Macaca fascicularis: one gene and its partners. The protein of the gene in region 3 interacts with the protein of the main gene of each other region in a pairwise test. Links are inferred from orthologs where the notes say so. Each region holds a gene or a part of one and is shown on either strand. Other genes may lie near its edges. The genes, in order: ATPAF2, RIBC2 and RAD54B.

Region 1 (9,164 bases), on a different chromosome or scaffold from region 3:
GCTAAAAGCTCCACTATGACCCACTTTTTAGGATGAAGGATGAAAACCTTTTCGTGATGGGTTGACACTGTGGTTGTAGTTATCTCTAAAATAACCAGAACACTCATTTCTAAGCACACTGCCAACGCTCACCGAAAATAGGCTTTACACACCTTTGAACCATTCCCAGAGCCTGGCCTGGGACCTTGTACACACATGGAAAGAACTTAATGATTTCTTGACATTTCTCCCTTGTGACTGTGCTAATTGGTCCCCCAGACACCCCATTCCACATATCAGCTAACCTGGCTTTTCCCACTGGGATTCTGTGGAAAATCAGCATCCCACAAGACATTAACAGGCATTACTCTGAAGTCTGTGGCCAAAAAAGTTGAAAAACCAAGAGAGACAAAGCTTAAAGGGTTTATTTTCCACAGGACTTTGTAGAGCCTCTGGAATACTTTGTGCTCTGCAAATCTTCAGGAGGGGCCTGGGGGTGCTGGCTTTCCCAAATGTGTTTGACCAAAGAATACTTTTTTTGGTAGAAATATTAACATAAGATTCCACAGAACATGTTTTAGAGACCGTTAACTGCCACTACAGGGAAGAACAAAAAGTGTACATTCCACTTGCAAGTCCTCCCTGCAATACAGAGCATTCACGTGCTCTTCCTTACCAAACGCCTCTGCTTCAAGGTGGAAGCAACTGCTTACTGAGTGCTTCGGTGGCCTTGCCCTGCTCTGGGCATTTCCACCATCCCAGGCAACGACAGCCACAGTGTCAACACCTGGAACCAGTGAGGCCTATTAGAGGGTGGTTGTTTCTAACAACTTTTTACAAGACAGCAAAGTCAGGAACAAGAGAAGGCAGAAGGAGACCCCAGATGGAATCCATGGTTTGGTTTTGTTGACATGAGTGGCAGTGGAGAGACAACTGTGGGGTGAACACCCATCAGTTTATAGGGCCTGCTGTCTTCAGAGCAGCCCCAAGACCCTCAGCCAGTCTCATGCTTCCACCCAGCAGGCAGAGGTTTTGGGCAAGTCAGACTTGAGAGTAACTGAGAGAGAAGCATTGTGAGAACAGATGTCCTGGGTGAGGTGCCCCCTGGGCAGCCATCTGCCTTCACCCTGGAGGAAACATGCTTCCAGCGGGGACTGCAGAGTAACACCCTGGTTGGCCCTTTCCCCTCAACACCTGCCCTGCGCGGTTGGGGAGGCAGCTGTCACAGATGAATTCACAGATGAATCGGCAGAGTGCGCTGATACAAAGGTGAGCTCTGCTCTGAGTGTGGCCTGCACAGCCAGGGGACTTCCAAATGCTCCTTTTCTATTCAGCTCTCTTTGTGTTCAGGGTGTAATGACACACATGTTCTCATTGGATTCTTTTCACTCACCAGCTTTTTGTCGATAAAGATACGATTGTTAATGCTGTCGGGGCATCGCACGACATCCACCTTCTGAAGATTGACAATCGAGAAGATGAGCTGGTGACCAGAATCAACTCCTGGTGTACACGTTTAGTAGACAAGGTGAGTCAATGCCAAGCCATCCTAGCAGGTTGGACAAATTTTTCTAGCTGACATGGAAATCCTCCCTAGGTAGCGGATAGAATTCTCATTTAGGAATGAAATGAAAGAAGAAATAAAATTAAGGATTATAGAACTCCACACTGAAGACAAGGTTGCCCAGAGACTTTAAAACCCATGGGCTTCGGCCAGGCGCGGTGGCTCACGCCTGTAATCCCAGCACTTTGGGAGGCCGAGGCAGGCAGATCACGAGGTCAGGAGATCAAGAACATCCTGGCTAACACGGTGAAACCCCATCTCTACTAAAAATACAAAAAATTAGCTGGGCATGGTGGCGGGCGCCTATGGTCCCAGCTACTCGGGAGGCTGAAGCAGGAGAATGGCGTGAACCTAGGAGGTGGAGCTTGCAGTGAGCCAAGGTCGTGCCACTGCACTCCAGCCTGGGTGACAAAGTAAGACTCCATCTCAAAAAAAACACAAAACCCATGGGCTTCATCATTTTCCTAACTCCTACTTCAAATACACAGAGATCAGCAGAACCTGGGGAGGCGCCGAAGCAAATGCGGAGGTTTGCAGATCTCAAGGAACTATTTTCCCCTTCCCTCAAACTGGACTCAGTGAAAGATATTAACCAATGATCTGATGTAAGGTATCGGGCTTTGGTTTCACTCCTCAGATTCACAAGGATGAGATCATGAGAAACCGTAAGCGCGTAAAGGAGATCAATCAGTACATCGACCACATGCAGAGCGAACTGGACAACCTGGAATATAGCGACATCCTAGACTAGATGAGTGTCAGCCACAGGAGCTTCTTCAAAACATAGCACCAGCCCTAACCAAGAGAAGGAAGTGCACATGCCTCACCGAGCACCTCAGGAGAGTTGCTGGGCATCTCTCAACTACGATCCCCCACACCATTCTTGCCCCACCCCTGGAAAAACTTCCAAAAGTAGAGAAAATAAAGGACTCATGTCACATTTCCCCTATTCATTAAAAAAAAAAAAAAAAATCAGCTGGGCACTGTGGCTCACGCCTGTAATCCCAGCACTTTGGGAGGCCGAGGCATGCAGATCACGAGGTCAGGAGTTCAAGACCAGCCTGACCAACATGATGAAACCTCGTCTCTACTAAAAATACAAAAATTAGCCGGACATGGTAGCGTGTGCCTGTAATCCCAGCTACTCAGGAGGCTGAGACAGGACAATCGCTTGAACCTGGGAGGTGGAGGTCTCAGTGAGCCAAGATTGCACCACTGCACTCCAGCCTGGGCAGCAGAGCGAGACTTTGTCTCAAAAAAAAGAAAAAAAAAAAGGCCGGGCGCGGTGGCTCAAGCCTGTAATCCCAGCACTTTGGGAGGCCGAGACGGGCAGATCACAAGGTCAGGAGATCGAGACCATCCTGGCTAACCCGGTGAAACCCCGTCACTACTAAAAATACAAAAAACTAGCCGGGTGAGGTGGCGGGCACCTGTAGTCCCAGCTACTCGGGAGGCTGAGGCAGGAGAATGCCGTGAACCCGGGAGGCGGAGCTTGCAGTGAGCTGAGATCCGGCCACTGCACTCCAGCCTGGGTGACAGAGCAAGACTCCGTCTCAAAAGAAAAACAAAAACAAAAACAAAAACAAAAAACAAAAAAATCAGAATTCATGTTCATGTAGGAACAGGAGAAAGAGTTTGAGATGAACAGCCGGTCCCAGGCCAGCTGACAGAGTGACTCCCAAGGGCACTGCCATCAGCTAGACTCTTGGCTGTGGCATAAAGTCAGACATGTGCCCCTGCCGTTTCTCCTGCCATGCCTAGGCAGGCTGCTGGCCACAGGCAAAAGGAGGCCAGTGTGGGCTGAGACCTTCTCTGCTCTGGGTGCTGAGGGGCAGCAATGCAGGAGAGGCTGCAGCTCCCACCACAGTGTGGGGGCCTGGGCCTGCCCACCAAGGCTGAGGTTAGTCACAGGGACCTGAGGACCCTCCAGAAGAGCAGAGCACAGGCGGGGCATCCCAGCTCCACCACACCCCCGCAGCCCTGGTGTCATCTGTGATAGTACCTCACAGTGCCTTCGAGGAACAGTTCAGGGAGACAGTGCGTGGGAAGCATGGAGAGGCACCCAGCATGTGATCAGTGCCGTGTGAACAGGGTTGATGCCATTACCTTACTCAGGCTGGCAAGGACACAGGACTGAGACAGCCTGTCTGCCTAAGAACCACACTCGGGATCCCCACTGCCCTCTTACTGGCGTGACACCAGACAGCACCACCTGCCTCCTGGGACATTAGAGGTGGCTATGTCGGGAGGACCCCTGGGACTCCTGGGTGGGAGATGAGCGGAAACATGCACATCAAGTGACCTCGCCAAGCCTGTCCATTTTCTACTTTCTAGAGTAAATCACTTGTTTTAGAACAGTAGGAACAAATAGAAACAACCAGCTTAAACCACGATCATTTCAAAAGATTGATTAAAAGCCAGCCAAAAAAAGCCTTCAAGTTGAGGCTGAAGAACACAAATAGAGTTGTCTGTGGATGACATGACTGTTTCCCCAGCACAAGGTTCCCAACCACAGGCAGCAGATATCCAAACATGCCATGGGAGATAAGCTGTTTAACCCTCTGGAACCTAGACAAAACAGGAAGAATAGAGAAGTGCAGAAGTGCACGTGAAAACAGGGCTCAGCACATTTCCAGGGTGGAGAAATATTTAATAAAATCAGGGTTGAGAGAAAGTTAGTTGTACAATTCATCTCCCACATTCATTGCTGACCAGGCCAGGGGCACCTGGTTTGAAATCAGGCTGACCTCCGGACAGTCGCACTAGCGCACTGTGTTTCAGGGAAATCTCAGGGTGATGCTGAGGCCGAGGCCCCAAAAGTCAAGTAAGTCAGCCCCACAGGCTGAGGAGCCCTGAAGGTTGGGGGAGCTGTGGCTGCGCTGCCTCTATCCTGCTGAGTGTGTGCTGCCCAGGCCTCACTCGTTCAGGAGCTTGTGCTTGACTGTGGTGCTCTCGGAGCAGAGATGGATGAAGAGGGTGCCGGCAGCGGTGCGGGCCCGCAGCTCCTGCAGCTCGTAGTCATGGGCCCACTCAATGTTGCCCCACTTCTGGATCTGAGGGACAGACAAGACAAGTTGCTGGGTGAGTGGCCAGTGCCTGGCTGCCTCCTGGCCAAAGCCACATTCCATTCCAATAGCTCGGCTGAGGGCAACAGGTTTGGATCTTGCCAAAACACGAGACATGCCTAGAGGGAGGCGGCAGGTAAGAACACCGAGGTGGGCCAGGCACAGTGGCTCACGCCTGTAATCCCAGCACTCTGGGAGGCCAAGGCAGGAAGACTGCTTGAACCCAGGAGTTCAAGATCAGCCTGGGCAAATATGGTGAAACCTCATCTCTACAAAAAGTTTTAAAAATTAGCTGGGTGTGGTGGGGGTGCACCTATAGTCCCAGCTACTTGAGAGGTTGAGGTAGGAGGACTGCTTTGAGCCCAGGAGGTTGAGGCTGCAGTGAGCCAAGATCATACCGCTGCACTCCAACCTGGGCAACACAGCAACACCCTGTCTCAAGAGCACCACACACACACACATACACACACACACAACCACTCAGGGAGCCAGAGCAGGCACCTGTGCTTTCTGTGGCATGGATGGTCTAGAAGAAGTACAGTCCAGGCCCAGGGCCAGTAGCTGCCCACCCACCACTGAGCAGGCTGGGTACCAGAACCACCCATGTGACTTCTTTGAGGAGGCCTGACTTATGTGCCATCCCTTCTCCTACACTTCCTCCCGGGAAGCCTGTGAACGGACAGCCTCTGCAAGTTGCCTTGCCATGCTGGGCTACAAGTGCACCCCGAGCCCCATGTGGGTGGAATAACTAAATCAAGCAAGGCCATGCAGTGGCTTCAACTCTAACTCTTGTGGTAGTCACAGAACTACAGATGCCTCTGCTCTGCACACTGGGGACACGTTGCAGATTCTCTGTCTGGAGCTCTTTTTTTTTTTTTTTTGAGACGGAGTCTCGCTCTGTCGCCCAGGCTGGAGTGCAGTGGCCGGATCTCAGCTCACTGCAAGCTCCGCCTCCCGGGTTTACGCCATTCTCCTGCCTCAGCCTCCCAAGTAGCTGGGACTACAGGCGCCCGCCACCTCGCCCGGCTAGTTTTTTGTATTTTTAGTAGAGACGGGGTTTCACCATGTTAGCCAGGATGGGTCTGGAGCTCTAAAAACAAGAGGGAGGAACCCTCAGACACACGGTGTGGCTGTCCAGACAGTGTAACTCCAACCAGACCCTGCTGGCTCCTCCCTGGCTAGTTGCCCAAGAGGCCTGGCCTGGCCGCCCCAGCTCATCCAGGAACTCAGAATCTGCCATGCTACACAAGCTATTTGAACTTCTGGGCTGCCTGGTCCCAAACTGTACAATTGTAATAAGTCATCTGAAGAGTATTCCATACTTTCATTGTATACCATCACATACATAATTCAGGTTATTCCTCTGTTTGTAGAGGATCGAAACCAAAGTTCAGAGAATGATGGCCTGGCTTGGGTCCCATAGTCAGAAGCAGTGCCCAGACTGGCTTCCCACCAGCCCTACAAGTCACCCCCTTCCTATGTAATCGGTTCTGACATCCAGAGAATAGTAGCAGGCCTACTTTGTTATACAAAAATAGTTTTTTTCCCTGGCATTTTTCTGAGCAGAAGACTATAAGAACTAGGGAAATACATCACAAAAAGCTTTTTTTTTGTTTTTTTTACCATACTAGGGACCAATTCATAATAGCAATTAACCTTCTGAGGTTGGTGGAATAACTGCAAAGATGGCCATAATTTTCAGAGTTAAAAAATGCAAACCATACTGTAGCAAAACCTTAATTCTGAGCCCACTAAATCAAAACTTGTGTACAAACAGCAGCTGCCCCTATGCTCCTCTGCCAGCCAGATAAAATGTCAGGGTATGAAGGCTTAGCTGATGTAGGAGCACAAACGGGTTCTCAGTCATCTTGGCAGGGCCTGTTCTGCAGGCTTTATCAAGCCCAGATGGTCTTTATCCACCCGTGAACCTCCTTGTGCAGAGTGAGGCCTGACAGTCTTGGCCTAAAATCACCAGACCTGGCTTCAAGCCCTAGCTGGCACATTTTCCAGAGGTGCAACCTTGCACCTCAGTTTCCTCCTGTGTAAAACAGAGATAACCACAGCTCCTACCTGCCCAGGCTGCTGAGAGGAGGTGAGATGGATACAGTGCAGGAACACAGCGGTAGCACTTACTGTTATTTTTTAAATGTTATTATCTTACAATACTTTTTTTTTTTGAGACAGGGTCTCACTTTTTCACCCAGACTAGAATGCAGTGGCACAATCTTGGCTCACTGCAACCTCCACCTCCCAGGTTTAAGCAATCCTCCCACGTCAGCTTCCCAAGTAGCTGGGACTACAGGCGCTAAATTTTTGTATTTTTGTAGAGATGGAGTTTTGCCACGTTGCCCAAGCTGGTCTCAAACTCCTGACCTCAAATGATCCACCCTCCTCGGCCACCCAAAGTGCTAGGATACAAGTGTGAACCACCACGCCAGGCCTACTTGACAATACTTCTGCTGGTCCTTGATTTTGATTTCTGCATGTACACAAAAGTAATGAAAGCCAACTATGCATAACTGTATTTCAGATGGGTTAGCTGTTCCCCCAAAGCGAGTCTGAACTAGGAAGGGGAAGGCGGGACCTGAGGTGCTGCTCCTCACCTGGTACTCCTCCTCCAGGCGTGACAGCAGCACAGCCTGCTCCACTGTCAGGTGCAGGTCAATCAGGCCCAAGGTCAGCACCAGGGACTTGAGCTGGGCAGCTACAAACTCAATCCCTGCAGGGACACAAGCCAAGTCAGGATCCAAAACAGGGCAGCTGCCACAACCTGCCCCTTGTGAGTCCCAGCAGCCCTAGCAGAGAACAGAAGCGAGTGGTGCAAAGAGCCATCCAGCGATTGTCTCACTCTTCTGAAAGAGCACTCTGGTTTTCCCATCCTCCTCTGCTCTTACCCAGTGAGACACATGACCCGAACTTGGCAAATCAGAGCTTCCCCCACCAGTCTAGTGATTGGTTCATGGATGGACATATGACCCAAGCCAGGGCAATGAGATTGAACTCAAGACTTCCGCTGGAGAGTCAAAGGTGGAAAAGTGTGAGCCTAGAGCATCAGAGCCAGCCAGCCTCCACACTCAGCTAGCCCAGAACGCCCCTGTGCCTCTCTACTCACAGCACCTGAGGAGGGGCAAGCACAGGCTTCGGATACTGATGGCCTTCACAGCCACCTGCCAAGCCCACAGGAAACTCTCTACATACCTTGTAAAGCCCACGTGTTGTAAGATGCCAGGTGGCTGACGAGCACCTCCCGCGTCTTGGCGGGGATGCTGGGTCCCATTATGCTGGTGGAGGAGTTGATCTCCACGCCGTATCTGAAAGGAAAAGGGCTTCGGCGTGTCTCTGTCATGCTGTAGCTCAAGAGCAGCCCACCTTTTGACTAAAAACAAAGGCCTAAGCTTCAGAGCATGTGTGTGCATTGGCCAAGGAGCTAGTCTTGAGGCCTCCAGGAGCAACTGCCACCATGGTCAGTGGCCTCCTGACCTGATTTTCTTTTTTTTTTTTCTTTGAGACAGAGTCTCACTCTGTCGCCCAGGTTAGAGTGCAGTGGCGCGATCTCGGCTCACTGCCAGCTCCACCTCCCGGGTTCACGCCATTCTCCTGCCTCAACCTCCGAGTAGCTGGGACTACAGGCGCCCACCACCACACCCGGCTAATTTATTGTATTTTTAGTAGAGACAGGGTTTCACCATGTTGGCCAGTATGGTCTCGATCTCTTGACCTGGTGATTCACCCGCCTTGGCCTCCCAAAGTGCCGGGATTACAGGTGTGAGAAACTGCCCCTGGCTCCGATCTCATTTTCTGTCCCTCAAGAGCAAACTTAGAGGACCAAGAAACTGTGCTGAATGAAGGGATAGTTCCTGAGTCATGTGAGCTGGGGCTCAGTTATATGCAGCTGCTTGAAATGTTCATTCATTCACCTGGAATCTCCATCAAAAGGCCATGTGCCTTTTATATCTCTTTAAAAAGTTTTTCACATTTGAGGCCATATAAAAGTTAAAAACAATACTTAAAATGGTTTTCCTTAAAATGTTTATATATGTCATATATCATGGAGGTTTTCTTCTTTTTTATTGAAACACGGTCTCGTTCTGTCACCGAAGCTGGAGTGTGCTGGCATGATCTTGACTCACTGCAGTCTCAACCTCTCAGGCTCAAGCGATCCTCCCATCTCAGTCTCCCAAGTAGCTGGGACTACAGGCATGTGCCACCACACCTAGCTAATTTTTTGTAGAGACAGGGTTTCACCATGTTGCTCGAGCTGGTCTCAAATGCCTGGACTCAAGCAATCTGCCCACTTTGGCCTCCCAAAGTGTTGGGATTACAGCCATGAGCCACCATGACCAGTCAGCAGTCATTTTTTCAAACTTTTTTTTTTTGTTTTGAGATGAAGTCTTTCTTGCTCTCTCCCCCAGGCTGGAGTGCAGTGGCGCGATCTCGGCTCACTGCGACCTTCGCCTCCCAGGTTCAAGTCATTCTCCTGTTTCAGCCTCCTGAGTAGCTGGGATTATAGGCGCCTGCCATCACGCCTGACTAATTTTTGTATTTTTAGTAGAGAT
Region 2 (10,357 bases), on a different chromosome or scaffold from region 3:
ACTCAGTGTTCTTCTCTGGGGCTTTCTGGTGTGGAAAAGCCCCATGCACCCTGTGTGGACAGCAGTGACCACACAGGTCACTGTCATTGGGTTGGGTCTGTCAACCCAAGCCAGCCCACTTGAGGTCCACAGTGTCCAGATGAGGACCACCAGGCCGGGGTGTTTCCCCTCCTGGCCCCTCCTTGTCCTCAACCTCCACAGCCCTGCAGTCCCTCCACCAGGTCCCCCACCTGGCCCTGGTCCCACCCAGCACTCACTGCAAACGCTGCTCCTTGGCCAGGCTGAGGTTGCTGCTGTCCAGAGCTCTGCGCAGGTCACGCTGCTGCCGGCGCTGCTGCCGCTCAAACAGCAGGGCGGCGCGGGCCCCCTGAATCCTCCGCCGGTCCCAGTCCAGGTCTCGCTGGTGCTTTTCTTCCTGGAGCCTCTGGAAGGAAAAGAGGCAGCTCACCACTGCCTTTCCCCAGAGCCAAAGAGCCCCAGGGGATTGTCTAGGGGGCCTGGCTTCTCATTCTACAGATGGGGAAACCAAGGCTCAGAGGAGGGGCAGGTAGGTGACCAATGTCATGCAGGAAGCCAGAGGAGACCCCCAGCCTGCCCTCATTCCACGTGGCCCGCTGTCCTCCCCCATCAGGAGGTGCTGGCTGTCCTCCTTCTCCTGAAGACACAGAAGGGACTCAATTCCTACCACAGCCTCCACTCCCGGCTGCCGGGCTCCCAGGTGCAGGCCGGGCCCAGAGTCTCCCTCCTCAGGTCCTCAGGGGGCTCCCTGGCTCGGTCAGCAGTCAGATGCCACCTCCAAGAGCCATGGCCAGCTGTCCCACAACTGAATGCAGATCACCTGGGCAGCTTCCAGAACATGCACACACCATAGCCTCACCCGGTGACAAGAAGCTCATGGTCCCAGAGGGGCACCCCGACCCCTGAGTTGCTGTGTTTCAGCTCATTCCTCACTGCCCTCCTCACTGTGAAAACTCCGGGGCCTTGGAAGAGGACGCTGGATTTGTGTGGAGGGAGGGGCACTTGCCCACGTGTTGTCAGCTTTGTTAGGGCTGAAGACGGGTCCCCTTTGCCCACTTTTGCCATTTTTAGGGCAGAGCCTCCTCCCACCAAATAAGCAAGGATAAGTGTCCGGTGAGTGGCACGGGGGTCTGGGCGGCCCCATCCTGGGACTGAGGGCAGGCTGGTGGGCTTTGCCACCCACGAGGCAAGTCACCTGCTCTCACGAACCTCAGTGTCCCCCGCTGTAAAGCCAGGCTGCTGTCAGGAGCCCGGGGTCATCACAAGAGCTGCTTGGTGGCAAACAGGGAATGGCATGGGAAACAGTCAGCCGGGCTAAGAGCAAAGCAGACAGCCCAGCTGTTTGCTGCGAGATTCCAGCCTTCCCAGTTACCTCCACGCACAGAAGGGGATGGAGGCAAGGACCCAGAAAGGAAGGGGCAGTATTTCTGAGTGGGGAGGTTTTTCCCCCTTTGTGCTTTTCTGTCTTCTTAATTTTCTTTTTTTTTTTTTTTTTTTTTTTGTTGAGACGGAGTCTCGCTCTGTCGCCCAGGCTGGAGTGCAGTGGCCGGATCTCAGCTCACTGCAAGCTCCGCCTCCCGGGTTTACGCCATTCTCCTGCCTCAGCCTCCCGTGTAGCTGGGACTACAGGCGCCCGCCACCTCACCCGGCTAGTTTTTTGTATTTTTAGTAGAGACGGGGTTTCACCGTGTTAGCCAGGATGGTCTCGATCTCCTGACCTCGTGATCCGCCCGTCTCGGCCTCCCAAAGTGCTGGGATTACAGGCTTGAGCCACCGCGCCCGGCGTCTTCTTAATTTTCTATAAAAAATGAAAACTAGACAGCAATGCTGCTTTCAGGATGGCTGATCTTCTGTGCCAGACAGTCGAGGCGGAGCTGCGTCCTGAAGCACAGAGCAGGGCCCTGGACCCCAATTCCAGCCCCGGCACCCTTTCCACCTTAGACTACATCCTGAACCTCACACCTGCGGCCTGCGCAGGTCCCGGCCCTACTGCAGCCTCCCACACACATGCACCTCTGGCCTGCAGGGAAGCAGGTGGGCGAGCTGCCGCCCCGACTCCTCATGCCCTGGTCCACACCACTGCCACTGTCCCTCCTCCTCCCCAGACCCACCAAATCAGAAGCTCACACCAACTATGCACCTGCCAGCCCAGCCTGGCCTCTCCCACTCACTCTGCAGGTTTGAGGCCCTCTCCAGACCTCTCCAGCCAGGATTCTCAGTGGTTTCAGCATACACAGACAGCCCTCTCCTGTCCCCAGCTGCTCAGTTCTCTCGCCTCCTCTCCGAAGACCTAGTCCCGGCTTCACCTTCTCACCCGCTGGGCACACCCTACCAGTGGGTCTCAAACCTGAGTGGGCATCAGAATCCCCTGGGGGCTTTTGAAATCACAGACTGCGGGCCCCACCCAGCCGATGCTGCAGGTCCGGAGACCCTCCCTTTGGGACCCTCCACCCTTCCCTTGTTATTACCAATAACGCTGCCCCCACAGTCTCACTGCTCTAACCCGCCTCTTCCACTCTCTCCAAGTCCCTGATTCCAATGATGATGCCCCCCGCGAAGTGTGACCTCCAGTCCGCTGGCCGCCACTTTTCCAATCTCTCTCTGGCCCCCTGGTTAGTCTCATGGAAGACGCTCCCAGGCCGCTACCCTCGGTCCCCTGAGTTCTTCACTTGGTCAGGCAGGCAGTGACCACGATGAATCCGGCTAAGCATGGGTGGGGACACCCCGACAGCACTCTCTGGGGTCACTTCAAGGTTATGACTATGACCCCCCAGTGGGCCCTGGGCACTGTCCGACCAGCCTGTCCCCTTCCTCCAGACTGTTCCCTTTCCAGTTCTTCTAGATGACCATTTACATTAACTCCCCCCAACCCTGCTCACTTCCACTTCTAAAAGGTAGAAAATGACGGTCACTTCAGTGGTCCTGAGCCACAGTCCCCAGAACAAATCAATTTCAGGTCTCATTTCTGTTCACCCACAAGCTCCTGCCCTGACGCCCCTTCCCGTGACTCCAATGACGGCTCCAAACTCCCAGGCCACACCAAGCCCTCAGCTAGCACTCCATGTCCCTTGCTCTCTGCAGCCCAGGGACATGGCTCCAGCAAGTGTCTCCTCAGGCATCAATGCCCCCTCTACTGCATCACTCCGGTTGAATGACAAGCATGCTGTTATTTCTACAATCAAGACAAACAAAAACCTTCCCTTCACCCCACGGCCCCCACCAGCTCCCACTCCATTTCTCTGCACCCTTTATAGCAAACGCCTTGTAAGTGCTGTCTACACGTGCCATCTCCATTTGTTTCCTGCCTGTTCTCTCTTGAGCCCACTAGGCTGGAGGCCCCAGTCCTCTGCCAAATGTGCTCCTTCCTGACGGGGTCCCCGGTGACTGCCATGGTGCCGGATCCAGCGTTTAGCCTGCAGCCTGGCAGCAGCGTTTGACCCAGGGGTTCTCCTCTCCTTCCCTCCCAAACACCTTTCCTCACTTGGCCTCCAGGAAACCACGGCTTGCATCTGTCCACCTCCCTGGCGGCCCCTTCTCAGATTCCTTTGCTCTTTATAAATAGTGGTGGTGAGAAGAGGGGTTCTGAGTGGGGAGCAGGACTCAGTCCTCAGCTTTAAATACTCTCTGTAGTGCCGGGCATGGTGGCTTACGCCTGTAATCCCAGCACTTTGGGAGGCTGAGGTAGGAGGATTATTTGAGATCAGGAGTTTGAGACCAGCCTGGCCAACATGATGATACCCTACCTCTACTAAAAATATAAAAATCAGCTGGATGTGGTGGTGCATGCCTGTAATCCCAGTTACTGGGGAGGCTGAGGCAGGAGATTCACTTGAACTTGGGAGGCAGAGGTTGCAGTGGGCCAAGATTGCACAACTGCACTCCAGCCTGGGTGATAGAGTGAGACTCTGTCTCAAAATGCATGCATACATACTCTCTGTAGGTGACGACTCACATTTATGCCTCTGGCCCAGACCTTGTTCTGAGCCCTGTGTTACATATCCAGCTGCCTCCTGGGCTTTAATTGGAGGCTGTGGCAGAAAATACTACTTGTCTCCCAGTAACCATTTTCCATTCTTCCTTAGTAAAAGAATCACCAGCACTTCACTGCTTGGAATAAACACATTTCCTTGACTTTTTTAGAGTTAGGGGCAACCTTGTGACTAAGTGTTGTCCAGTGAAATGTAAGTGGAAATCTCCTTAGAGTGTTCTCCATTCCTCCTTCCTGGTAGCTGGACTATGCCTGTGATGGCTGGTGCTCGAGCAGCCATCGTCCACTAAGAAGTGAGAGCCAGGAGCCAAGGATAGCAGGACATCAGTCAATGACCACAGAGCTGCCATACTAGCCCTGAACTGTTTTCCTGAGGATTTACTTGCAAGAGAGAAAGTTCTATTTTGTTTAAGATGCTGTTATTTGTGGTTTTCTGCCACATTCAGGCAAATCTAATCCTAATAGATACAGATCTCTAATGAACTTTGCACACTTAATATATCCAAAATTGTAACTTTGATTTCCACCCCTCCCACCCCATCAACCTGCTCCTCCCACCATCTTCCCTATCTCTGGAAAAGCCAATTCCATCCGCCTAGTTGCTCAGGCCACAGGACCTGGAGTTGCCTTTAACTCCTCTCCTTCATACATCCCCACCCAAACATTCATCCGATATTGTCAACTGTACCTTCAACATAGATCCAGAATCTGACCATTGCTCAGCAACCCCACTGCCTGCCCCGTGGTCCCAGCCAGCATCGCCTCTCACTGTGAACACTGCAGAGGCCTTCCTGGAGATCTCCTTCCTTCCCCTTCAGCCCCTATAGTGTTCGCCCTCAATACAGGAGGATCATGCTGGGGGTCCTGTTCAACCTAAGTCAGATCCTGTCACTCCTCTGCCCAAAACCCTGCAGAGTTCCCCATCTCAGTCACAGAAGAGGCCAAAGTCCTCCCCAGTGGCCTGCCAGGACATTGACACTCTGCCTCTGAGGCCTCAGCACCTGCCCCTCTCCTCACTCCACTCCAGCCACCAGGCTCCTCGCTCTTCTCTGAGCAGGTCCGGCAGGGTCCTGCCTCAAGGCCTGTGCCCTTGCAGCTCGCCCTGCCCAGTCACCCTTTTCCCAGGCAGACACATGGCTCCCTCCCTACCCTCTTTTGGGTCTTTGCTTCAGTGTCTTCCCAGTCTACTGTTCTCTTTCTTGGCATGCCTACTCCTGATGCCACATCATATGGGTGTGAGACTATCTGGCTCTTGTCTTCCCCCCGATTAGAAGGGAAATTCCTTGAGGGCAGGTCCTAGGGCAGAGCACAAGGCCTGCTACAACTGCATTTGTGCCTGGAAGGCAGCTCTGCGGGCTCGGGAAAAGGGGCGGGGCAGCCACCAGCTTCTCCTGGACTTGCTGCTTCTGGACGAGGCGGATCTGCTCCAGCTGCTCCTGCGTCATGCCCTTCCAGCGGTCGGGGACCACACGGTGGGGCCCGAAGGAGCTGGCTGCCTGCTGCGGGTTCTCGGAGAGCAGGTCCCCACGCAGCAGGTTGGTGATCTCAGTCAAGTTGTCCTCTTGTTCTTGCTTTTTCTCTCGCTTTTTCCTTTCCACTGACTCAATGGCCTAAGCAGGTGAAGACATTAAAGAAGATGGTCCGAGTGACCCCAGGGGTATTCTGACACCCAGGCCAGCAAACCTCACTGGGGGCCCTTGAGGGGAGGATATGCTAAGGGCAGCAGGAGTTCGGTGGAGGGGAGACTTGTCAGGCACGGATGCGGGAGGGTCCTTGAACCCCTGGCTGTCTGCACACTGCTGGGCGGGTGGGCTGGACTCGGGGGATCACCACCTGTTGGGTGTGTGCATAAGAGCTCTGGGTCTTGCACGAACTTGCCAAGGCAGGGAGCTCTCTCCTTGGATTAGGCCGCCACCCCACATGGGCCTGGCCCCAACCAAGGCACAGCTCTGTGCCCCTGGCAACCCTTGGACATCTGTGGGCTGCAAAGAACACTCAACAGAGTGATTTACAACAGTGGTGACTTCTAAATGGTAGAAAATGCACTGTCACTTCAGTGGTCCTGAGCCGCAGTGCCCAGTACAAAGCAATTCCAGGTCTCATTTCTGTTTGATTCCCTGGGGGGTTTCTGGCTGGGTGACCTGCACCAAGTCACCTCCCCTCTCTGGGCTGCAGTCATTTCTCTGTAAAGTCGGAAGATGGCTTTTAGGAGATATGTACTTGGGATAACAGTTGTCCTCAGTAACACACGGACAGGGCAGTTTGCAAGGAGCTGGCATTCCACAGGTGCTCACCGGAGGCCAGCTTGATGGAGTCACACAGCACACACTTTGTAGCTAGACAGGCCCAACTTCAAATACTGGACTTGCCACTGAGTACTCCCTAAGAAAGTCAGCTCATCCTTCCAAGCCTCCTTTTTTTTTTTTTTTTTTTGAGATGGAGTCTCGCTCTGTCAGAGTGCAGTGACGCAATCTCAACTCACTGCAACCTCCACCTGCCACGTTCAAGTGATTCTCCTACCTCAGCCTCCCGAGTAGGTGGGATTACAGGCCTCTGCCACAACGCCCAGATGATTTTTTGTATTTTTAGTAGAGACGGGGTTTCACCATGTTGGCCAGGCTGGTCTCAAACTCCTGACCTCGTGATTTGCCCATCTCGGCCTCCCAAAGTGCTGGGATTACAAGCATGAGCCACTGTGCCCAGTCTCTTTCTGTTTTTTAAGACAGGGTTTCACTCTGTTGCCCAGGCTGGAGTGTAGTGGTGCACTCACAGCTCACTGCAGCCTCCACCTCCCAGGCTTGAGTGATTCTCCTACCTCAGTGTCTCAAACAGCTGGGACTATAGGGCCGTGCCACCACACCCGACTAATTAGAAAAAAGAATTTTAGAGACAAAGTCCCACTGTATTGCCCGGTCTAGTCATGAACTCCTGAGCTCAAGTGATCCTCTTGCCTCAGCTTCCCAAAGCGTTGAGATTACATACATGAGCCACCATGCCTGGGCCTGAGCCTGTTTCTTTGTCAGTTAAGTGGGATTAACCATGCCTCTGTGGGAGGGCTGTTGAACACAGTGACTACTAAGAGCAGCTAATTGTTGCTAAAATTAAAAATAATAGTCAACCAGGTGGATCACCTGAGGTCAGGAGTTCAAGACCAGTGTGACCAACATGGTGAAACCCCATCTCTAGTAAAAATACAAAAAAAAAAAAAAAAATTAGTCAGGTGTGGTGGAGTGTACCTGTAATCCCAGCTACTTAGGAGGCTGAGGCAGGAGAATCACTTGAACCTGGGAGGCAGATGTTGCAGTGAGCTGAGACGGCACCACTGCACTCCAGCCTGGGCGACAGAGTGAGACTTGGTCTCTAATAATAATAACAATAATAATAATGACCATCATCTGCTGAGTCCTGATTATGTGCCAAACTGTCCTGACCTGTCACGTGCATTACCATGTGAGTCCTCGCAGCCACCTTACTAGCAGGTGTGATGGCCAATACTGCTGACCATTCGCTATCAACAGTGTTCTTCCTGGGCACGGGGCAGAACTACGTGTCCTGCCCACTTAGAGTGAGCGTGGCCATGTGGCTTGCTTTCATTAGTGAAATGTGAGCAGGGGCAGCAGTACTGCTCCTGGGAGGATGCCTGGGGGGACTAGCCACATTCCTTCCCTCCTGTGCTGCCAGGATCCTCCAGCTGGCAGTCACTCAGTCCCAGGGCCTGGGCTCCAAAGTGAGGATGCCGAGGAGCAGGCCTCACAGCCAGTCCACGGTGGGCAGGGAGCATGCATGGAACACCAACTTTCTGTTTAAGCCACTGAGACTGGTGGGTGCTTCTTACCCCAGCAAAAGGGTAAGCACATTCTCACTGACACAGAAGGGCGTTATCGCTTCCTCATTCTGCAGATGATCAAACCGAGGCAGTGGGTGGCCTGCCCAAGGCTGCAGGGCAGAGCGTGGTCTCGCACCCGTGTGGTCAGGCTCCAGAGCCTGTGTGTCAGACCCTGATGCCACAACTGACACACGACGCCTCTCTGACGAAGTGAGCCCCAGCCCAAGAACTGGAGGCCCTCAGTGTGTCCTTCCTGTTGAACTGGACCGGCCTTCTTGGGCTTTTCTTTTGAGGATAGTTATCCAGAACCTTGTACTAATATCCCAGGTTAATCAAAAAGCCCAGTTCTAGTTAGGAACAGAGCTGCAGAAGCCGGAGGGCGGCTCTCCCCAGTGCAGGAGTGTTTGTGATGGCGCTGCCTCGCGGCATCCACATGAGGAGCTGGGGGCTGAGAATACCAGGCAGGCTGTAGACGCCCATTCAACATCTTCTAGAATACAGGAATGAATCAACTGATGAAGGAGACAATAGGGTTTAGCAAAAGCTAACCCAAAGCCCAGCAGGAAGGGCTCCATAAACACTGGTTGAACTGATGAATGAATGAATGAATTATCATCATCATCATCATCATCATCGCTTCCATAAACGAATGAGCGGATCACCAGCCAACAGTGGACTAATTGTCAAGGGTCGCATCCTGCCATTCACTTGCAGTGGGGACTGGAGCGAACAGACCCCCGTCTTTGGGCGCCCTCTGTAAAATGAAGGGCAGGGATGGATGATCTGTAAGACCTTTGCAGCTCACTGGGTGGTGAGCTCGGACTTCAGGTGTCTTGCTTTGCCCTTTGGTCCTCCCCAGCACCCAGTTGGCTCTCCTCATTCCTCTCCCCTGTGTTGAAAACTCACATTCTCTGGTGTCTGGTCCAGCCTCTCTAGGATTTTTGACTGCCTGCCCCCACCAGGAGGACAGTTTTGAGCTTGTATCTCCAATATATTTAGTTCACAGTGTGGTACTACTATATTTTAATGACAGCACATGCTTATAACTACATATGAACATAGAAATCAAAAGCGATGAGGTTAAAAATAATATGAAGCAGGGCTCTGGTATCTGCTCTCCCACAGATCCTGCACAGCCTTCTTTGGGGACCATAGTTCTAGTTGACAAGCGAACCTGATCAACGAACCCAGGCAAAGTCCCCACCCACCAGATAATAGAATTGCATTTGAAAAAAAAACCTTGGCCGGGCGCAGTGGCTCAAGCCTGTAATCCCAGCACTTTGGGAGGCCGAGACGGGCGGATCACGAGGTCGGGAGATCGAGACCATCCTGGTTAACACGGTGAAACCCCGTCCCTACTAAAAAATACAAAAAACTAGCCGGGCGAGGTGGCGGGCGCCTGTAGTCCCAGCTACTCGGGAGGCTGAGGCAGGAGAATGGCGTGAACCCGGGAGGCGGAGCTTGCAGTGAGCTGAGATCCGGCCACTGCACTCCAGCCTGGGCGACAGAGCAAGACTCCGTCTCAAAAAAAAAAAAAAAAAAAAAAGAAAAGAAAACCTTGTCAGGGGAGGGAGAGATACCGGGATGAGCTCTAATTTCCAAAAGGAAAAGAGGGCCAGATGTGGTAATCCCAGCACTTTGCGAGGCTGAGGCGGGAGGATCGCTTGGGCTCAGGAGTTTGAGACCAGCCTGGGCAACATGGCAAAACCCTGTCTCTACAAAAATATACAAAAATTAGCCGGGCACGGTGGCGCGTGCCTGTAGTCCTGGCTACTTGGATGGCTGAGGTGGGGGGATCACCTGAGCCTGGGAGGTCGAGGCTGCAGCGAGCCGTGATCGTGCCACTACACTTCAGCCTGGGCGATGGAGTGAGACCCCGTCTCAAAAATAAAAAAACCCAAAGAAACAAAAAGAAGAACCTACTTCAGCAACTTCAGCATCAGATTGGAGGGGAGGGGAGTGTGTGGGAGGAGGGGAGGGGAGTGTGTGGGAGGAGGGGAGGCAGAGTTTAGAGGGGAGGCAGGAGCTCTCAGGAGGCCCCATTGTCCGAGCTCATCATGATCTTCATCATCCCCGCCAATGGTGAGCAGCCCAGTAGCTGTTCTCGGTAAAGGGGAAGTCTGAGAGGTGGGAAGAACGGAAACCAGCACCAGCCATTGGAGCAGAGCTAGGTGGTAACAGTCTAGGGTAATGTCACCATCCTTATGTTACAGTAGAAGAAACTGAGGTGTAGAAAGGTGAGCTGACTTCCCCAGGTTACATGGCTAGTTTGGCGGGTTTCCCTCCAAGATTCAGAGCTAAGGGACAGGACTGGGTCTCATCCTTCTCCATAATCAGGCATAATCAGGCAGCCCATCAGGGTCTCTGTCAGGGCTGGTGATGTGAGCAGGGAAGCAGGCAGAGACTGGGATCCCAGGGAGGCCAGAGAGCCTTGGGAAGCCGTAGTGGGCTCATCCTCCCCTCCGGTCATCGAGCCCGGGGTCTCGGAGTACGTATACCTGGCTCTTGTTGAAGTCTTTCACAGA
Region 3 (10,976 bases):
AAAACAAGTTCAATAGCTAGTAAGATTTTAGTTTTCATCAAGGGCTATTGAAAATAATTTAAGATTTTAGGCCGGGCGCGGTGGCTCACGCCTGTAATCCCAGCACTTTGGGAGGCCGAGGCGGGCGGATCACAAGGTCAGGAGATCGAGACCACGGTGAAACCCCGTCTCTACTAAAAATACAAAAAATTAGCCGGGCGCGGTTGTGGGCGCCTGTAGTCCCAGCTACTCGGGAGGCTGAGGCAGGAGAATGGCGTGAACCCGGGGAGGCGGAGCTTGCAGTGAGCCCAGATCGCGCCACTGCACTCCAGCCTGGGGCACAGAGCAAGACTCCGTCTCAAAAAAAAAAAAAAAAAGAAAATAATTTAAGATTTAAATTGAACGGTGATATGGTTTGGCTGTAACCCTACCCCAATCTCACCTTGAACTGTAATAATCCCCACGTCAAGGCCAGGGCCTATTCTCATGGTAGTGAGTAAGTCTCACGGGATCCTATGATTTTATAAATGGGAGTTCCCCTGCACAGACTCTCTTGCCTGCTCCCATGTAAGATGTGGCTTGCTTCTCCTTTGCCTTCTGCCATAATTGTGAGGCCTCCCCAGTCATGTGGAACTGTGAGTCCATTAAACCTCTTTCCTTAAATTACCCAGTCTCAAGTATGTTTTTATTAGCAGTGTGAGAACAGACTAATACAAATGGTGTAAATTTAAGTATATGTCAATTTATCAAAAATTTAAGTATAATCATGGTATCTTCTTTAAAGCAATTTAAATAAAAATTTCAAAATATAAGGAAATACAATTCACATACAAATATCAAACATGTTGCTTTTTTTCTATTCCACTAATCCATAAACCACATGAGGGTAGCAATCTCATGCTTGTTTTCTCCACCAGTAATCACTATAATGTGTCTGGCAACAGTGACAGATACATTACCATCACTAACAAATATTTTGAATGAATGAAATCTGATAATTTAAAAGATATTTTTATAATTCAATTTGTTTTTACTATCCTATTTCATTTGAAAACAGTGGAATTTTTAAAAATATAAATCAAGAGACTAGAACCAGGTTTCCCAACTTTTGCTCAATCTTATTTCTATGAGGACTGGATAGGGGAACAGACAGAAAACAAGGACATTACATACATACATCATGTTTCTGCAATGGATAGTAGCAAGTACTCCAATTCAAAACAATACCACAAAACACTATTTAACATAAGCCATCAGCAAGGATGAACATGACTACCAACGTTATCTGTTTCACCCAGAAATTCCAATTCTGGCAACTTAACCTAAGGAACTATCAGAGATAATACTAAGTAACCATATATAAGAATAATCAGCTGGGCAGGACACAGTGGCTCGAGTGTAATCCCAGCACTTCAGGAGGCCAAGGCAGGTGGATCACCTGAGGTCGGGAGTTTGAGACCAGTCAGGCCAACATGGCGAAACCCCGTCTCTACTAAAAATATAAAAATTTGAGGCCGCGTGCAGTGGCTCACACCTGTAATCCCAGTACTTTGGGAGGCTAAGCTGAGCAGATCACGTGAGGTGAGGAGTTCAAGACCAACTGACCAACATGGAGAAACCCTGTTTCTATTAAAAATACAAAATTAGCCAGGCGTGGTGGTGCGTGCCTGTAATCCCAGCTACTCGGGAGGCTGAGGCAGGAGAATCACTTGAACCCAGGAGGTAGAGGTTGTGGTGAGCTGAGATAGCGCCACTGCACTCCAGCCTGGGCAACTAGAGCGAAACTTCGTCTAAAAAAAAAAATTAGCCAAGTGTGGTGGTACATGCCTGTTATCTCAGCTACTCAGAAGGCTGAAGCATGAGCATCGCTTGAACCTGGGAGGCAGAGGTTGCAGTGAGCCGAGACTGCACCACTGTACTCCAGCCTGGGTGACAGAGCGAGACTCTGTCTCAAAGAAAACAAAGAAAGAAAAAACAATAATCCTGCTAGTATTAATTACAGTAGGGGGAAAAAGGAAAAAGAATGTCTGTAATGAAGTACAAGATAAATTATGGTACACCCACACAACAGAACACACTGTCTTCATATACCACCAAAATTGAGTCAGTACTATTCCCCAAGCTAGCCATGTTCTCTTTTTCTCTAGGCTTTGAACAAACTTTCTCTTATATAATGTTGGGAATGCTTTTTCCGACTTTTCTTTGCCTGATTAATTCTACCTTATCCTCTAGAAGTCTTAACCATGAGCCCTCTTCATCTCCTCCCAAAGACTGGACTGGAGGACCTTTCTGCATATGCACTACCCAAGCACTTTTCATACTGCAATGAAATTTGCCCTATCATTCCCCCTGAGCTATTAACTCAGGCATGAAATCTTACATACAATTCATCACTATATTGCCAGTACCAAATACGCAGAAGGAGTTCAGTATTTGTTATGTGAACGATACCATTAATTGGGGCGGGGAGGGGGCAGGGAACAACACTTTAAAAAAATGTTTAATGACATGAGAAATATTTTTTGATAAATCAAAGGAAAAATGGTGACAAAACATGTCCAGTCTCATTCTAATTTTTAAAAAGAAAAGAAAAAGAAAAAGGATAACGCGTATATGTACATTTAAAAGACTAGAAAGCAAACGAGCATGAGAGAACTTGTTTGAAGTGACAGAAATAATCTATATAAGATTGTAGTGTGGTTACAGGAGTATATATACATCTGTATATCAAAACATCAAAATGTACACATCTAACTGCACACTGTAAATTATACTGCTATAAAGTAGATATATATGTCATATATTAAAATATACAATTGTTTTTTAAAAACTAGAAAAACACATGCCACAATATTAACCGTAATTATTTCTAGGTCTGGTTAGAATAACCAGTAATTTTTATTCTATTCTGAGTTATTTTCTGTATATTTCAAATTTTTTACAATGAAAATATTACCTTTGTAATAGGGAAAAGTATCATGAATTAGATTTTTTAAATTACCATATTTCATCAAATCTAAAATGCCATCAATTGTAAGATATACTCTTGGTTGTTAGTCCATATAAAAGAAATGTTTAAAAGTAAATATTTTAAAAATAAAAATTTTTTTAGTTGTAAGATGTACCATTATTTTATGTATCCAAGAAAAAAAGTGTAGCCAATTAAACTATGATACACTATCATTGATGGTTAGACATTTCCTAATTTCATCAATGTTAAAATGATGAAACATGTAAATATTTGATATATAACCAGCCTTTACATAGTTTGAGGAATGAGTAGTAGAGGTCACTCTCTTCCATTTCTTATTCAACAACAAAATAGATCTCTATTAGTATAATCTTTAATCTTAGAGCAAATTATGAAACAGATGGTTTTTGACTGCTTTAGAAGCAGTATTTGCCAATGCCAGAAGTAAATACAAATTCTGGCCAAACAAGTCATGCCAAAATAACTTCATTAAACTAATTTCCTTTTTATAATGGGTAAGCAGAATACTACAGGTCTCTAAATATATAATTGACACAAGTTTGAAATTGATTAATGGCAACTGTCACAAGAGGACATGGATGTTAGGCCTTGCATTTAGACTCAGTTACTTAATGGTCAAATGAAATAGAACATTAGAAGCTGAAATTTAAAACTAAAGATTTTAGTGACTATAGTTCAACTGAAATAAGATAATGAGCCTTCTTAAACTAATAAATTCTAGATAGCATTAATAAAAATATGATGTCCACATCATTCTGTTCTCTACATTAATCAGACTCCCCTTTAATACTGTGAAAATTCTGACACTTTTTCAAAAGGAACACTTAAAAAAATACAGTAGTTAGAAACATCAACAGTAGAAATGAAGGAAACCAGAGTGTAGTTCAGATTCTGCTATTTCAGGGATGCTTGACTTTGGGGAAGCTATTTAACTCTCTAGACACCAATTTTCTCATTTATAAAATAAAGAATGAACTAGATGCTAAAATTTCTTTCAACACTAAATGTGAAGAATTACTACCCTAAACCCTTCTACATCTAATACATGATTTCTGATTTTTCAACCTTCCTATTTTGTAAACTAATAAAAATGATAATGCAAGCATACAAGCATCATCACAGAGCAGTGATTAAGAAAACAGACTGACTCTGGAGCCAGCCAGGCTGCCTGGCTAGAATCCAAACTGTGCTATTTACATATGACCTTAGGCACCCATCAAGACATTTAATTTGTTGATGCATTTCAAAGTAAAATGCAGAGATCAGTACATTTCCCCCCAAAAGAGTACCGCTTATAGCTTTTTAAACTAGTTCTGTATGTTCATGTTGTCCTGTCCATAATAAATTAATAAATTAATTAGTGCTGTCTGAGCCCTTTTCCCAGGTCCTAGAAATAAAGCCATTTGGTAGCCCTGATGTGATGCTACAACTTCTGTAACACCTGTTAGCTTCAGTCCTTCCAAGTAAAATGGTAAGGCCAGGCTGACAACTGCAATACACCAGATAGCCACAAGTACTTGGCACTACACTGTGGTAAATAAGAACACAACTTTGAAAGCAAATGCCTGAATATAAATACTGACACTTCCCAATGGTCTTGCACAGTTTACTTAGGCTCCATGTGTCTCAGTTTCCTCATCTTTAAGAGGGGGTACCATAATCATACTTACACACCGGACTGTTGGGAGGATTAAATGAAATATGTAAAGCACTTAAAACAAAACTTGACACATAAGCACTCAATGTTATCTGTAATATTACTATCTATAATTAGTATTATTGGAGAATAGAAATGACGAAGGTCCTGTGAGGGAGATAGAAAAGGGGTAGTTCAACATACAGGACAATGACCAGAATCTTTGGGTTCGTCTGGGCTTTAAAGAGAGTTATGTGCAACCATCAAACGTCTGGGATGCAAGAATGTAAGTAAACCAACTCTACCAAGAACCAGCAACAGTCTTTCCCTGCTGTTTCTGCTTTTCGACTTCCAACTACATTAAGTAGTAATTATCTCACTTCATGCCTTAAGTTGCTCCTTTGAGACTCCGGCTATACAGATGGTTCCTAATTTAGGACGGTTTCACTTAGAATTCTTCAACTTTTAAGAAAGCCATAAGCATTTAGTAGAAACTGTGCAAGTAACCACATAACTGTCTGTGGTCATGATTTTGCCCAACTGTAGATTAAGGTAAGTGTTCTGAGTTTGTTTAAGGTAGGCATGAAATCATGTCCTTTACAGCAACATGGGTGCAGCTGGAGGCTATTACCCAAAGCGAATTAAAGCAGAAACAGAAAATCAAATATTGCATGTTCTCACTTATAAATGGGAGCTAAACACTGGGCATTCATGAACATAAAGATGGCAATAATAGACAGTGGCGACAACTAGAAGGGGGAGGAAAGGAGGAGCAAGGGTTCAAAAACTATTGGGTACTATGCTCACTACCTGGGTGACAGGATCAATCGTATCCAAACCTCAGCACCACGTAATATACCGATGCAACAAACCTGCACATGTACTCCCAAATCTAAAATAAACCGCTGAAAATTAATTTTTTTGATAACAAAACTAGGCTAGGCCAAGCTTTAATACTCAGTAGGTTAGCTGTTTTAAATCCATTTTCGACTTAGGATATTTTCAACTCCGTAGTAAGTCGAGAAGCATCTGTACCTACCTAGAAAATCTTTCATAAGGTAATCGATTAAAAGACTTTAAGGAAATACAAGAAAAACCTGACCAGCGAGGAGGTAAAAGTCCCTAAAGAAGGCGTACCGACACTCTCCAGGGCGTTCGCGGAGCCTTCACCCCCTGTTGCTGGGGATGGGGCTTCCCAGTGCAGGAGTGAGGGAGAGACCCAAACGCCACAGAAGCCTGAGCAAAGCGACAGCAGGGGCGGCCCCAGGGGCCACAGCCCACAACCATCCCTCGCACACAAACGCACACCTCTACACCCCCACCACCCGCCCTTCGCTCCTAGCCCCCCGGGGCCAGCAGCCAGGGCGTCCCTCGCACTTCAGACCAAAGTTGCAGGCCCGCAGGAGGCCACTTCGGTCGCTCCTGCCTCCTTCCCTCCCTCCTCCCTCGGAGGCCTGCTCCGGCGCCACTCCCTGCTTTGTCCCGCACGAGCCTACAGGCTGTCGCGGCCTCCCGAGCTTCCCCCTCCAGGACGCACCGGCGAAAATCTGACAGAAACCACTGGCCCTGCAAAGAAGCACTTCTGGTAACCAGCGGTTCCCTCGCCACCGGAGAAGCTCAAGGCTCCCGCCTCGGCGAAGCCAATCGCGGACGAGCCCGGTGCGCGTGCGCACTACCTAGCCGCTGCACTGTCCAGTCCTGCCCTACTCTGATTGGACGACCCTATTGCATCACTGCGCATGTACCTTTGCGTTTCCCTTTAAAGGCTTCCAAGTTTGATTCAAGTTTACGGTTCAATTAAAAAAATACCGGTTTCGTGCCTACTTTCAGACACAGTGTAGATGCCGAGGCTACAGATCTCACCATCTGCGTGGATAAGTAATAAATAAGGTATGATTCGGTGTGTGCGATAATAGAAATGCGTGCATCGCAGAGGTATACGATATCCTATTGGTTATTAATTAATCCGAAAAAACATTGACCTAGTGTTGCCTGCAGGATAATTTTCAAACTTTGTTAGGTTCTGGGAATATAGAAATGAATACGTGATTATTAGGCTCTCAGAAAAGGGAAGCCGCCCCCGGACTTGGAAAAGCATTAAAGGATATTAAATAGGAAAGTTACATCATTCAATGAGTATTTGCTTAGCACCTTCTAAGTGCTAGGCGATGACACAGTCAGCTATCCCTGAAAAATGGTATTAGAAAGGCTAATCTGAAAGGATAGAGAATGGCTAAAGGTTGTTTACTGAGTTTTATCCAACAGTTTGACAAAAAGTAAAAGCTAAAAAATATCAAGGGTGAAATGAAGATGTGAAACAGTGAGAACTCTTGGGCTGCTGGTAGGAGTGTAAATAGGTACAGCTATTTAAAAGAGTAATTTGAGGCTGGGAGCGGTGGCTCAAGCCTGTAATCCCAGAATTTTGGGAGGCCGAGGGGGGCGGATCACTTGAGGTCAGGAGTTCGAGACTAGCCAGGCCAACATGGTGAAACCCGGTCTCTACTAAAAATATAGCTGGTTTTGGTGGGGCGCGCCTGTAGTCCCAGCTACTCAGCAGACTAAAGCGGGAGAATCGCTTGAACCTGGGAGGTGGAGGCTGCAGTGAACTGAGATGGCGCCACTGCACTCCAGCCTGGGTGGCAGAGAGAGACCCTGTTTCAAAAAAAAAGAAGAATGTGCTCCTTAAGGAGCTTTTATCCTGGGGACTTTTTCCAGTCATAAAGAGCACCTCATAGGTTGAGTTGTGCTTTTGGCAGCTCCCGGAGCCAGGGTTACAAGAATTTGAAATGGGGACCTACCAAGGTTGGGCACCTTGGTAAACTGCATCCCCCTCGTCTTTGGACTGGGACACGTAAAGAGTAAGGGTAACCAGAAAACAAGCTAGCTCTCGTAGTGTCTGCAGCCTACCTTAATATCATCTGGGAAGTTCAGAAAATCTAAAACAGATTGGCTAAAGGTAGCCGGGACATTCCTCTTGCAGATTTGCGTCTGGTTTGCTTGTTCACTTCAGATCATTACTCACATATCAAGTAGTCAAAGGGCCTTATCTGACAGTGTGTTACTCTCTTGTCTCATCTTCTATCTCCCTTACCCTGTTTTATAGATTTTCATCACACTTTCCATTCCCTAACATACACTTACTTGTTTATTGTTTTTCTACTACTCTCAGAATATAAGCTACATGAGGGCAAGATCTTTGCTTTATTCTCTGCTGCACCCATGTGTTTAGAACAGTACTAGTCTTTTTTGCTTTGTTTTGTTTTGTTTTTTGAGACGGAGTCTCACTCTGTCACCCAACTGGAGTGCAGTGGCATGATCTTGACTCACTGCAACCTCTGCCTCCTGGGTTAAAGTGATTCTTCTGCCTCAGCCTCCCAAGCAGCTGGGACTACAGGCATGAACCTCCATGCCCGGCTAATTTTTTTGTATTTTTGGTAGAGACGGGGTTTCACCATATTGGCCAGGCTGGTCTCAAACTCCTGACCTCATGATCCACCCACCTCGGCCTCCCAAAGTGCTGAGATTACAGGCGTGAGCCACTGCGCCCAGCCAGAACAGTACTAGTCTTACAGACTGCACTCAATAAATATTTGTTTATATTTATTTGGAGGCCAAGGCAGGAGGATTGCTTGAGGCCAGGAGTTTGAGAAAAGACCAGCCTGGGCAACATAGTGAGACACTGCCTCTTAAGAAAAGAAAGAAAGCTGAAAGAAGTGTACACATGAACTCTCTGTTCTGTTTTTGCAAGTGTTCTGCAAGTCAAACATTAGTTCAAGTAAAAAGTTTAAAAAGACCAGGCATGGTGGCTCACGCCTGTAATCCCAGCAGTTTGGGAGGCCAAGGCGGACAGATCACTTGAGGTCAGGAGTTCAAGACTAGCCTGGTGAACATGGTGAAACCCTGTCTCTACTAAAAATACAAAAATTAGCTGAGCATGGTGGTAGGTGCCTGTAATCCCAGATACCGGGCAGGCTGAGGCAGAAGAATTGCTTGAACCCAGGAGGCGGAGGTTGCAGTGAGGCAAGATCGTGCCATTGCACTCTCCAACCTGGGCAACAGAGCGAGACTCCATCTCAAAAAAAAAAAAGAAAAAGAAGTTTAAAAAACAAGATTTCCGTTATTCAACAAATACTAAACATGAAGTACTTGGTAATGCAAAGGACACCATAATGTGTAGTTCAAAAGTACTTTTCTGCAGAAGTGTATAGTCTGATTTTGGATTATCTCTAAAGGAAACTAATAAAATGCAATTTAGGCCTAGGTGTGGCAGCTCATGCCTGTAATGCTAGCACTTTGGGAGGCCGAGTGGGGAGAAATGCTTGAGTCTAGGAGTCCAAAACCAGCCTGGGCAACATGAATGAAACCCTGTCTCAAAAGAAAAAATCAGTCTTTGTCCAATTATGTGGATACATATATCTTTGGAAATGAATATATTGGTATACACCAATATATTGGTATTCATTTCATTTCCTTCTTCAATCATTAAATGCCAAGTATATCACCCTAAACATTTTTATAAGGACATTATAGTGTGCCTTGGGGTTAACAGTAACAAATATTGGAGGTAAAAGTCTCTGTAACTAACACATTAATTGGTTATTACTTATTGGTTGTAATAACACATTAATGTGTTAGTTACAGAGACTTTTAATGTTGAACTAACACATTAATTGGTTATTACTTATTGGTTGTAATAACACATTAATGTGTTAGTTACAGAGACTTTTAATGTTGAACTAACACATTAATTGGTTATTACTTATTGGTAATGTTAGTTAATTGGTTAAGCAGCATCAACATTATAGCTGGGGTGGGAGGAGTGGGGAGGAGAAAAATAATTTGGACACCTCCTTTTAGTCTGATTACCCTTCTTTTTCAGTTGTGATCCCACTTGTCTCCTAGCCATTACACTTGATCAATTTTGGACTGTTATTTTTTACTTTATAATAAGTATCTATAGTAAATTTCTCTTTTGATTCATATTCACCTCCCCCACTACACACATTCCTACTTCTATTTCATGTTTCAGAATATGAGAAAATAATGCCCACTAGTGATTTGTTCATATCACACAGAAGTTAATGAATGGCAAAGGCAGGATTAGTACCTAGCTCTATTCGTTACTAATTTCTTACTTTTTCATCCAAATAAGTTTTGGAGGGAAAATTATTGAACAGTTTTTTAAAGTTTCACATGGTAGCTGGGTGTGCTTGTGCGTGCCTGTAATCCCAGCTACTTGGCAGGCTGAGGCAGTAGGATAGCTTGAGTTCAGGACCAGCCTGAGCAACATAGTGAGACTTCGCTTCAGTAAAAAAATAAATTAATAAGTTTCACATGGTAATAGAGCAGTTGTGGATAATATTTATTTTATATGACTTGGGCTTTCAGGTGAATTATTTTTGATTCCTTATGTAGCTTAAAGAGAACAGTGATTCCAGAGGACCCTAACTTGTTCTGGAAGGGCCAGGTGAAATGTTTCATCAGAGTAAGTAGCAATTCTACCATTCCAGGATTACCAGAACATCTAAAAGCATCCTTCCTAGAGGAAACTGAAAGCAGCTGCAGACTTAAAGAGGACCAAAGCTTTACCAAAATATGTCCAAAGTATCTCTTAGCAAACCAAGAGACTTTCCGTGGGGAATACTACACAGTTTGTCAACTCAAATAACTTGTTGAGATTTATTAACTTGAAAAAAAGTTTAAGAATTTTTATTTAACTAATATTTTTGTTTTGTCTATTGCTTTAAAATGAAAATCATGTAATTCGGCTTTTTTTTTTTTAAATGAATACCTCAAAACCTTATTCCATTTTAAACTCAAGAATATGTGGCTGGGCGCAGTGGCTCCCAGCACTTTGGGAGGCCGAGGCATGTGGATCATCTGAGGTCAGGAGTTTGAGACCAGCCTGGTCAACATGGTGAAACTTCGTCCCTACTAAAAATACAAAAATTAGCCAGACATGGTGGCGGGCACCTGTAATCCCAGCTACTCAGGAGGCTGAGACAGGAGAATCGCTTGAACCCGGGAGGCAGAGGTTGCAGTGAGCCGAGGTTGTGCCACTGCACTCCAGCCTGGCGACAGAACATCTCAGATGTGAAATTAGACATAAGAACTTAGAACACAATAATAAGAAATGGAATTTCAAAGAAGTCTGTAGTCAAAAGTGTGGAAGCCCAAAAAACATAACTAGACTCTGCAGATACAGTCTAAGGCCACATATTCAAAGTCAATCATTATATGTAAACAGTTGAGGAGCAGATGGCTTTGATACATATAGTTTTTAGCAATCTCTCTTCAGTTCGCCATCAAATTGAAAAAGTACCCATCACCTATACTTTCATTTCTCAGTCATGCCAACAAATAGCATTA

What was found.
Region 1: the proteins of RAD54B (region 3) and ATPAF2 interact in a two-hybrid assay, tested with the Homo sapiens proteins (2 studies listed by BioGRID). The two-hybrid records come from large-scale screens. The link is inferred for Macaca fascicularis from reciprocal best matches to the Homo sapiens genes RAD54B and ATPAF2.
Region 2: the proteins of RAD54B (region 3) and RIBC2 interact in a two-hybrid assay, tested with the Homo sapiens proteins (2 studies listed by BioGRID and IntAct). The two-hybrid records come from large-scale screens. The link is inferred for Macaca fascicularis from reciprocal best matches to the Homo sapiens genes RAD54B and RIBC2.

What each region holds. Positions count from the first base shown.
Region 1 is NC_088390.1:18,129,372-18,138,535, forward strand, and holds the end of ATPAF2 (ATP synthase mitochondrial F1 complex assembly factor 2), read right to left. Parts: intron 7,985-9,164; exon of another isoform or gene 7,955-7,984; coding exon of another isoform or gene 7,935-7,954; coding exon 7,807-7,934; intron 7,328-7,806; coding exon 7,212-7,327; intron 4,597-7,211; coding exon 4,459-4,596; 3' UTR 4,173-4,458; downstream 1-4,172. Other genes in the region: DRC3 (dynein regulatory complex subunit 3), read left to right, coding at 1,376-1,507, 2,181-2,294. UniProt on the Homo sapiens protein: Plays a role in the assembly of the F1 component of the mitochondrial ATP synthase (ATPase).
Region 2 is NC_088384.1:6,157,717-6,168,073, forward strand, and holds part of RIBC2 (RIB43A-like with coiled-coils protein 2), read right to left. Parts: coding exon 10,331-10,357; intron 5,617-10,330; coding exon 5,389-5,616; intron 425-5,388; coding exon 258-424; intron 1-257. UniProt on the Homo sapiens protein: Microtubule inner protein (MIP) part of the dynein-decorated doublet microtubules (DMTs) in cilia axoneme, which is required for motile cilia beating.
Region 3 is NC_088382.1:104,117,300-104,128,275, forward strand, and holds the start of RAD54B (DNA repair and recombination protein RAD54B), read right to left. Parts: upstream 6,260-10,976; 5' UTR 6,145-6,259; intron 1-6,144. UniProt on the Homo sapiens protein: Involved in DNA repair and mitotic recombination. May play an active role in recombination processes in concert with other members of the RAD52 epistasis group.